2 linked regions of the Cricetulus griseus genome follow. The protein of the gene in region 2 purifies or fractionates together with the protein of the main gene of each other region. This does not show direct contact. Links are inferred from orthologs where the notes say so. Each region holds a gene or a part of one and is shown on either strand. Other genes may lie near its edges. The genes, in order: Capzb and Plekho2.

Region 1 (4,423 bases), on a different chromosome or scaffold from region 2:
GAGCTGGAGTGGCAGCTCCTGAGGAACCTCCTTGGCCTTTCACTACTACAGCACTACAATCAAGCAACAGCGTCTTAACACTCAGAATAATAACCCTAAATTAGAAGCCAGAGCTCTGATAGGCAAAGTGCTTTGAAATTGCAAAGCACTTAGGGACGGTGGTAAGACTGCCTGCAAAGGGAATGCATTTGCCTAAGCATTCTTAACAGGGACAGTGAACCAGACTCAAGAAAAAAAAAAAACTCAGGCTTCTCTTTCCCTCAGCAGATAAGTTGGAGCTAGAGTTGTTTGTTCTGCCACCAAGCCCACTGAAAACAAAACCATGGTGTTCATTACCTATAATATAGCTCCACTCTGCCAACTGATCCAACTGCCCACACCAGGGCATCAGATCATTCAAGCATGGTACGGATTTGACAACAGGCAGTCAGAAATTACTTAGAGGCCTGGGGGACACGAAAAACAAGCTGCTGAGTGAATGAGCACCAAACCTCAAGTGGCTAAAGCTCATAGACACCCTAAGCAATCTCTTGTTTCTTTTTTGAAACTCAGGGTCTCACTCTCACTGTGTTACCCAAGCTGGCCCTGGACGCCTTAACAGCTGATTACAGGTGTCAGCCTTCCATGCTGTATCTTTCAGTCTTAGGTTCTGCTCTAGAACCCAGACAGACAGAGGCCAAAAACACCAGACCAAAATCTCAGTCCCCAAAGAGCTCAGGATCAGGTCCAGGCAGACCATACTACTGTATCAAGATGACATTTCCGGTTACCAGGAATATCCACACCCAGTCTGCAGGAATAAGTACTCTGCCCGCCCTTGCCATGTTTGAGCATCCGGTCATTACGTTTCTTAAACAATGTCATTATATCAGACATACAACAGCCTACCAGGAAGATCACTGTCTGGAGCCCGCCAAGCCACTGCTTCCACTGGCCAAGAGTGGTCCATCCACAAACTGAGCAATGCTCTGAATGAGATGCAATGAATGCCCCAGCCTCTCTTCACCTGTCAGAAGATGGTGACAGGGGAAGCATAGAGGACTCTGGCCACTCCACTCCACTCCACCACTATCTCTGGCTTTGGCTCCCGGAGCACACATAGAAAACTTCAGTTGACTTTTAAAAGTCTCACCCAAAACTGTCCTAGACAAGTCCTTCCCCATGCGGACTAAGGCCACAGTCCAGACCCCCAGGCCAGTTTTCAAAGAACAATAGTATGACAGACAGTCTTGCCTACATTTTAAATCAATATATAGAAAGTTTATTAGCCAACCAGAATTAGGCACCCTAATTCAGTTGCTACACCCTTGATTAAACAAGGAACAGGGTTCCTCAAAACATCTAGAGCTCAAAGTCCACTCCCAAACATCTATCATCAGCAGGAGGGGAGCCGACCACAAGGCTGTGAGGCATGCAGCAGGTGGATGGCCTTAACTGTCCACTTTTCAAGCTTCCTTGACCATTTGAGGCCCTTCCATCTAGGTGCTGGACCTGCTCTGCAGAAGGTGTCCAAGTGGATGGGGGGCAGGGTTATGGGGGGACACCCCTAAGGCTCCTCAAATAAGCTGCTCACACAGTGTGCCTGCCTTCATTACCAAAACACACACCAGGGTTCAACCAGAGGGAAGTCTCAGCCTGCGAGTTTTGCTCACCTGTTCCGAGACACCTCCATAATCAGAAGTTCCAACCCTTACAAGCTGACAGTTCAGGGGGAAAGGGAGGCTTCGCCTGCTAGGGTGCATCGTATCCAGGCCATATGTTGGTCTCTGAGCTTGGTGTCCCCCCAGCCCCCATGCCGCGACCTCACAAGAGCGATTATGCGTTCATCCCTGTCCACTCGGCTTCGTCACCGTCAGCACTCTGCTCCCCTCTCAGGCAGGGCGGCCACGGGAAATGCCCTGGTCTGCCTTCCGGGCACACAGATGCCGCCCTTATGCCTCTTGCTCGCTCGCTCATTCCGAAGCGAAGCAGCCTCCCCAAAGGGGCAAGTCTCAAGTATAGGAAAGCACAGTACCCGGACCACCCCCACCCCGGCTGGGGCTCTCCCCCGCTTGCCAGGGACTGCCAAGAAGGAGCGTCCTAGGAACAGGGGAGGAGACACCTAGGTCGGGAGCAGGACACCAAGCAAGCAGAGTCTAGATGGGAGGGTGAGGATGAGAACGGCGGGCTGACGCAGACTAAGCCAAGTCGTGAGAAGTCTGGGGGAAGGGGATCGCTAGGGCCAGGGCCAAGGAGGTGCAGGTGGAGGGCACAGCAGGAGTAGAGTCCAGACTTGAGGACCACGGACAGAAGATTCCATGGGGGTGAAGGAAACAAACGTAGGCTAAGGCCACTAGAAAGGGGTCGTCGGGGTCCAGGCTGGGGCCATGGAGAGAAGAGTTTGAGTGGAGGGGGCCTAGCATAGGTCGCAGCAGCGAGAAGCACCATCCTAGCCTGGGCCCTGGGGCCGAGGTAGGGAAGCCTAGCTCAGGCCGTGGGATGCGGGCCTGAGAGAGGGGTGCCTGGCCCGGCCTCTAGGGGAAGGAAGGTCTAGCCTGGGATCCTCGAGACTAGCCTGGACATGCCGGGGAAAGAACCCGGCTCCACATGGAGCCCAGGGCGGGGTCACGCACCACCCGAGCCTCCCGCCGACCCCTCCGGACCTGAGGGGTGGCGTCTGCCCAGGGTCCCGGACCCCACCCCTCCCCCACCCCGGGTCCCACCCTCCCCGAGCCGGCGGGTCCGCGGGGTAGGAGACGGGAGCTCCCGAGGGGGGTCCCGGGATGGGGCCGTGGAGGGGGTCCCTTTACCATGGTGGCGGCGGCGGCGACGGTCCCTGTCCCGGCGTCTGTAGCTCTCCCCCCCGCAGCAGGGCCCGGCGCTTCCACTTCCCCCGGGTGCCCAAGAGTGAACATCCGGGTCCGCGCCCCCCTCCCCCCCACCCGCGCCGGCCGCCGCCACCTTCCTTCCCCGCCAGCCACCCCCCCCACGCCGCCAGCTCGCGGCCAATGAGCGAGCGGGGCCGCGGCGATCGCCAAGTATGGAGCTCTGCGCGGGGGGCGGGGACGGGGGTGGGTCCTGTGGTCGAGTGGGCGTGTTCTCATGGGGGAGGGCGGGCCCTACGCGGGCCAGGCGCGTTGGTTCCGTAAGCCCGGGGCTCGCGCGTACCGGAGGGACCTAGGCGGCCGTGGCACCCTCCTGCTGCCCACTTCGCCATCTAGCATCTGGAGGACACGGGGTACCTGAGGGTGGAGCGGTTCACTGGCCCCCCTGGGCGGAGGATGCGGAAGGCCCTGAACTAGGAGGGGACCGGCCCTCCGCGCCCCACCCGGACCCGGAACTGGTGCGCCAGAATGGGGCCCAGCCCCTAGAGCGCTAGCGGAGCCTGCACTGGGACGCCGGCGCTGCCGCCCCTGTGGCTGAACACCCGCTATCACGACCGGGGAGGCAGCCTTTAGGTACCAGAAGATGACAGGAGAATAAGCCTGAAGGATCCCTGCCCGCACTTCCTGGCTACCAGACAGGGTGGTCGTGAGGAAGACGCGGGTACAAAGATAGAACATTTGGGTTCAATAAATGCTGGCTGTTAGATATACTTTTCTACATTACCTGCAGAGAATCAGCCTTTTTGCCAAATGAGTCTTTTCCTCGCTCCATCCAGTGACTCAGGAATCCCTCTTTGTTTTCACAACTGAAGATTGAACTAGAGCCTCATACTTGCTACGCTGATGTTCTTACACTGAACTGAAGTCGCAGCCCTAGAAATGCACTTTTCAAAATGCTTTGTTGAGTTAATCTAGACTGCAAATCTTGCTCATAATACCTACCTACCAGACTTGCTCACCTTCTATTTAAAATCAAATCAGGTCGTAGGTGGGAGTGGGGATCAGTAAATTTCATCCCTGAAAGATTATGCCCGAGGCCTCTGAGCTCATAAACAAGTGAGAGCCTTCAGGAACAGCCAGTGAATGGTTAAGTCCCTCAAGAGTGGCAGTAGACCAGTATTACAGGAGGTCAGAGAAGGGAGTGGCACTTAGAAAGTCATCACTCCATAAGTATTTATTGTGTAACAATTGGCCAAGCATTATGCAGACTATGGAGATTGCAGCTATGGGCAAAATATCTCATGCTAGCCTAGAGTTTGTAGGTGAAATTTCGCTTCAGGAGATGGAGCCTCCTGCAAGCTGGATATGTACACCTGCCCTGAGTTAAGGCGCTGCTGAGCTTGAATGCTGTCAGGAGGTGAGTTAAGAAAAAGCATCAGAGTGGATGGAGGAGGTAAGCAGAGGTAGCTAAGCACTGTGTGGTGGCATTTGGGAGGATGGTCCAAGGCAGCAAAAGATGGGAGTGGAGTGTACACACAGCCCCAAGGGCAGAGACACCCCCCCCATGTATTCGTAGACAGCAAAGAGGCCAGTGGCCATTCTGAATTGTGTTAGCAGAA
Region 2 (4,587 bases):
TGCCTGTGGGAAGCTTTAGGAGGGTAGGGGGCTATCTCCTACTCTTGTCTGCTGGGACACTCTTGGCACTTACCCTGGGGGATTTCCCCATCCTATCCTTCTGTTGGGGCGAGGGCCTGGGCCTGGGATTGGTATGAAGTCCTTTTAGAAGGCAGATGGATGTGGGGAAGTAAAGGGAAAAAGGCATCAGAGACTTTATTTACATTCTCGTGGCTCTGGAGAGCTGGTTCATAGTTAAGAGCACTGGTTGCTCTTCCAGAGGTCCTGGGTTCGATTTCTGGCACCTACATGGCAGCTCACAAACATCTTTTTTTTTTAAAAAAAAAAAAAAAAAAAAAAAGCTTTATTTTGTAAGTTGCTTTTGTCATAGTGTCTCTTCACAGCAAGAGACTAAGACAGATGTTTTTTGTTTTTGTTTTTGTTTTCTATATGGATGCTTTGTTTTCATCCATACCAGAAGAGGGCACCAGTTCTCATTACGGATTGTTGTGAGCCACCATGTGGTTGTTGGGAATTGAACTCAGGACCTCTGGAAGAGCAGCCAGTCAGTGCCCTTAACCACTGAGCCATTTCTCCAGCCCCTGCTCACAAACATCTTTAACTCTAGTTCCAGGATATCTGAAGTCCTCTTCTAGCCTCCACAAGCACCAAGCATTCAAATGGTTCACAGACAGGTTTGCACGCAAAACACACATACATATAAAAAAAATTAAAAAGACAACATTCTCATTCCTTTTACTACAGAAAAGGGACAGCAGAAAGAACAAGAGGTTAGCCCAGTGTCATAAAACCAGTGCTTCGACAGGGCACTGCCATGCCTGTCTCAATGAGAGTCAGGGCAAGTGTACAGCCTGGAGCCAGGGAAAGGCATGATTTTGGGAAGGCAATGGAGCAGAACCAGGGAGGCCTAGAGATAAGGTTTCCAAACTTACTCCAGGGACAGTAACAACACCTCCATTGATATCTTTGGTTTTCAAAGTTTTTGTATATACATTATCAAATTTCTGGATTTCCCTTCCCTTATTATTTTACAATTAGGAAAATGAGGACCAGAAAACACAGACAGATACTAGAGCCCAAACCAGCACTTCTCCAAACCTCAGCCTAACAGGGACCACTATCCTACATCCTACACAGAGGCCAAGGGAGGCTTGTCCCCAGGGTGCCTGGGACCCAGGAAGTGCAAAGCATAAGGGCAGAAAGCAGCGATGTGAAAGTGAGGTGAAAAGGTGGCATGAGGTCAGGGGCTGAGTGAGTGACCATATTTAAGAGGCATTTAAGAGAAGGATGAACACCGAGGCATAGGGAAACAAGTGAACACTATTAAGTAGGAAGCAACAAGAGTTAGGGGTACCAAAGAGAAAACAGGCACAGAGAGCCCCTTGACTCTGTGGATAAGACCTGGGGGTTACACCGAGGAAGTAACATAGGCAAGACTTTAATGACCCAGGTATGTCAGGAGGTTTTGGTATCTGGGAGTTAGAAAGTAGCAATGTTAGCGATTATGGATCACAGGGAGCATAGGGTTGTGCTGAGCCCAGGAAGCCCCAGGAGAACTTCCTTTAACTGGGGACCAGAGCAGATCAGGAGATGGAGTAATCCTGACCCACATCCTCTGGGAACACGGGAGGGACCTTGGGCAGAGAGCACAGCCATTACAGGAGGGGAACCGGAGGGGCAGGCAGCAGCCCCACCCGTGACAGCAAGAGAAACCACAGCAAACCATAGTGGCCTGACTTTGCCCCCTACCTGTACCCACTCTGAGTTCAGGGACCACAATCATACTGTTAGGTCTAGGGGAGGAGGCTAGGCCCTATGTTTTATAGAAGAGGAAACACAAACTAAGAGGGGAAGTGACTTATCTACCATCCCACACAAACTCAGGGTCTAGCCTAGAGGGAACAGAGCCTTGCTGCTCCAGGAAATACGCAAGTGGACACTGACAGGAACACAGGCAGCTGAGCTCACTGAAGGCATCCCAGTCGGCCAGGGTGGCTCCAGGGGGAAAAGATTCATCTTTCTTCCCCACCCTTCAAAGGATAAGAAAGTCTGCTTTTTAATAATTTCATGAGCATGCAGTAGGTAGCGGCTGTATCCTGGACCCTTGGATAATGGGAAACCTGCAAGAACAGAGGGCAGAGGAGGCTCAAGGGATGTTGCTGATCTAGACTTTGCTTCTGGGAAAGTTAGCCGACCTGGCCCTTCAACTAACATCTTCAAAAGGCATCTTTTGAAAAGAAAAGGGCAAAAGCAGTGGGGACTCTTGAGAGATTTACACAAGAAAGACAAAAGCAATTTCTTCGGTCCTGCCACCAGGTTCCATTACAGTCTCGTTCCTTGAGACAGTGGCCCAGAACCCCGAAGAACGTCCCTCCCCTAGCATACATAAGCAATCTGACCTCTCAGGAGTAGATCTGGCCATGGCAGGCAAGAAAAGCCAAGAAAGGGTGTAACGGGATTCAGTCACAGCAACCCAACTACTTTCAGTAAGTCACCCAACTCTACAGAGCCTCAGTCTCCCCGCCAATCCAATGGGAATCATGACAGGCACCGTTTCCAGTTGGTGAGAAAAGCTCAAAACATAACCGAGGATGCTGTTGTCGAGGTGCAGGACTAGACCTCCACCCCGGCTATCCCCCATCGGTCCAGGCTCTGCCTGAAAGAAGGGAAGGGAAAGAGTGTGCAGAGACCGGTCGAAGTAGGGCGGGCAGGACCCCAGTCCAGCACCCTGCTTCGTCTGGCCCAGCCCTCACCTCCTCTTCCATGGCGAGTCTGTGAGGTCCGGCCGTTCAGCCGTTTACTGCTGCCCGCGCCGCGCGGGCTTCACTTGCTCCATCTATGTGCAGCCGGGCGGCGGCTCGCTGTCTTCTGTCCCGCCGGCTGCCTGGGGCCCAAGAAACTTCGGGGGGCGGGGCCGGGGCCGGGGAGGGGCTTCCGGGGCCGGGGGCGGGGGGAGGAGTGCAGCGGCCCCCAGCCCCCGCCCGCTGCGCAATGAGGAGCGTGGCCCGGTGGGGGGTGCAGGGGCGGGGCCGGGGAGGATACTGGGAGGGGCTGGTCTTGAGCTCCGGGAATGGACGGAAGAACCCGGGCGGAGCTGAAGTAGCAGGAAGAGGGCGGGGAGAGGTTTCCCGGACCCAAGCAGAAAGAGAGCCTGGGGGGGTACCGACTGGAGAGATGGGGGATACGGAGGGGGAGGGGGCTTCCGGCCCAGAGGCAGAGGCGAGGGGGATGCGGGCGGGGTGGGGCAGGGCGAAGGCGTGGCGGGGGCGCGGTTGGCAGAGCAAGCCTTGGAGGCGGTGGGTGCTTGATGCCTTTGAGGTTGTCTAACCCAGTGGGCCTGGGTTGCGGGAATGGATCCAGCTGCCAGGACAGTTCAGAAATGAGTGCACAAAGAGGTTCCTACTCTTTCCGGGTTTTTTGTTTTGTTTTGTTTTTTTTCGTTCGAGACAGTTTCTCTGTCTAATAGTCGGCTGGCCTGGAGCTCACTCTGTAGACCAGGCTGGCCTCGAACTCACAGAGATACATCTATCTCTGCCTCCCAAGTGCTGGGATTAAGGACGTGCACCACCACCGCCTGGCTGTTTCCTCTTCTTTCCTCCCCGAAGTCTGAGTAGTAGCAATGGTTTCTAGCCTATGAAACTTCTGGGTGGAGCCGGGCCATGAGTTTGGGGTTTATAACCAGAATCGGAGTCTGGATTCCTGTCCTTTATGGCTCTCTGAAACCCCAAACTGCCGTGCTCATCTCTCCCTCGTTTAACCTCTCTTTGGTTCTCAAGTTACCTTTACTCCATCCAGCCCTGATCTGACCACATTGCTGGAGAATGGGGTGAAGAGACCTACGAGAAAGCCTTTTAATTCTATCATGCACTTTCGTTTTATACTGGAGAAACAGGCCTGGAGGATGACTGCCACATCCAAACCTCAAGCACCACACACACACACACACACACACACACACACACACACACACACACACACGAGCTTTCCAGGTCAGGTGTGCCCATGCTACAGCACCCAGAATTTTGTGCGTGTGGGATGGATCAATGGTGACCTCCTTTGACTCTGGCTGCCAAAGTCTCAGTCAGCTACAGCAGCTGACCAAGCTTCTCTTTCACTGCCCTCTGCTGGCCTTTAGGCTCCTGGGTCCTTTTCAGTTCTCCATGGAAGAGGGTGGAGCACACTGCTCGCTCATTCCTGGGACTGGTTCTTACACCTTAAGGGTGGAGATGGCTAGGAAGATAGCTTATTGGTTAGGAGCACTTCTGCTCTTCCAGAGGACCCACGTTTGATTCTCAGCACCCACGTAGTGGCTCACAACTGTCTGTAATTCCAGCTCCAGGGGGATCTGAGGCCCTCTTCTGGCCTCTTCAGACACCAGGCATGTAAGTAGTGCACAGACATGCAGGTAAAACACTCATACACATAAAATAATAAAATAATTTTTTGCCGGGGCGTTGGTGGCGCTCGACTTTAATTCCAGCACTCGGGAGGCAGAGGCAGGCGGATCTCTCTGAGTTCAAAGCCAGCCTGGTATCCAGAGCGAGTGCCAGGATAGGCTCCAAAACTACACAGAGAAACCCTGTCTCA

Evidence for each region.
Region 1: the proteins of Plekho2 (region 2) and Capzb purify together in Homo sapiens (affinity purification with mass spectrometry; 3 studies listed by BioGRID and IntAct, counting the BioPlex papers as one, with this or other methods). This does not show direct contact. The link is inferred for Cricetulus griseus from reciprocal best matches to the Homo sapiens genes PLEKHO2 and CAPZB.

What each region holds. Positions count from the first base shown.
Region 1 is NC_048595.1:14,117,163-14,121,585, forward strand, and holds the start of Capzb (F-actin-capping protein subunit beta), read right to left. Parts: upstream 2,910-4,423; 5' UTR 2,895-2,909; coding exon 2,790-2,894; intron 1,758-2,789; exon of another isoform or gene 1,743-1,757; coding exon of another isoform or gene 1,653-1,742; intron 1-1,652. UniProt on the Homo sapiens protein: F-actin-capping proteins bind in a Ca(2+)-independent manner to the fast growing ends of actin filaments (barbed end) thereby blocking the exchange of subunits at these ends.
Region 2 is NC_048597.1:177,186,046-177,190,632, forward strand, and holds the start of Plekho2 (pleckstrin homology domain-containing family O member 2), read right to left. Parts: upstream 2,892-4,587; 5' UTR 2,766-2,891; coding exon 2,754-2,765; intron 1-2,753.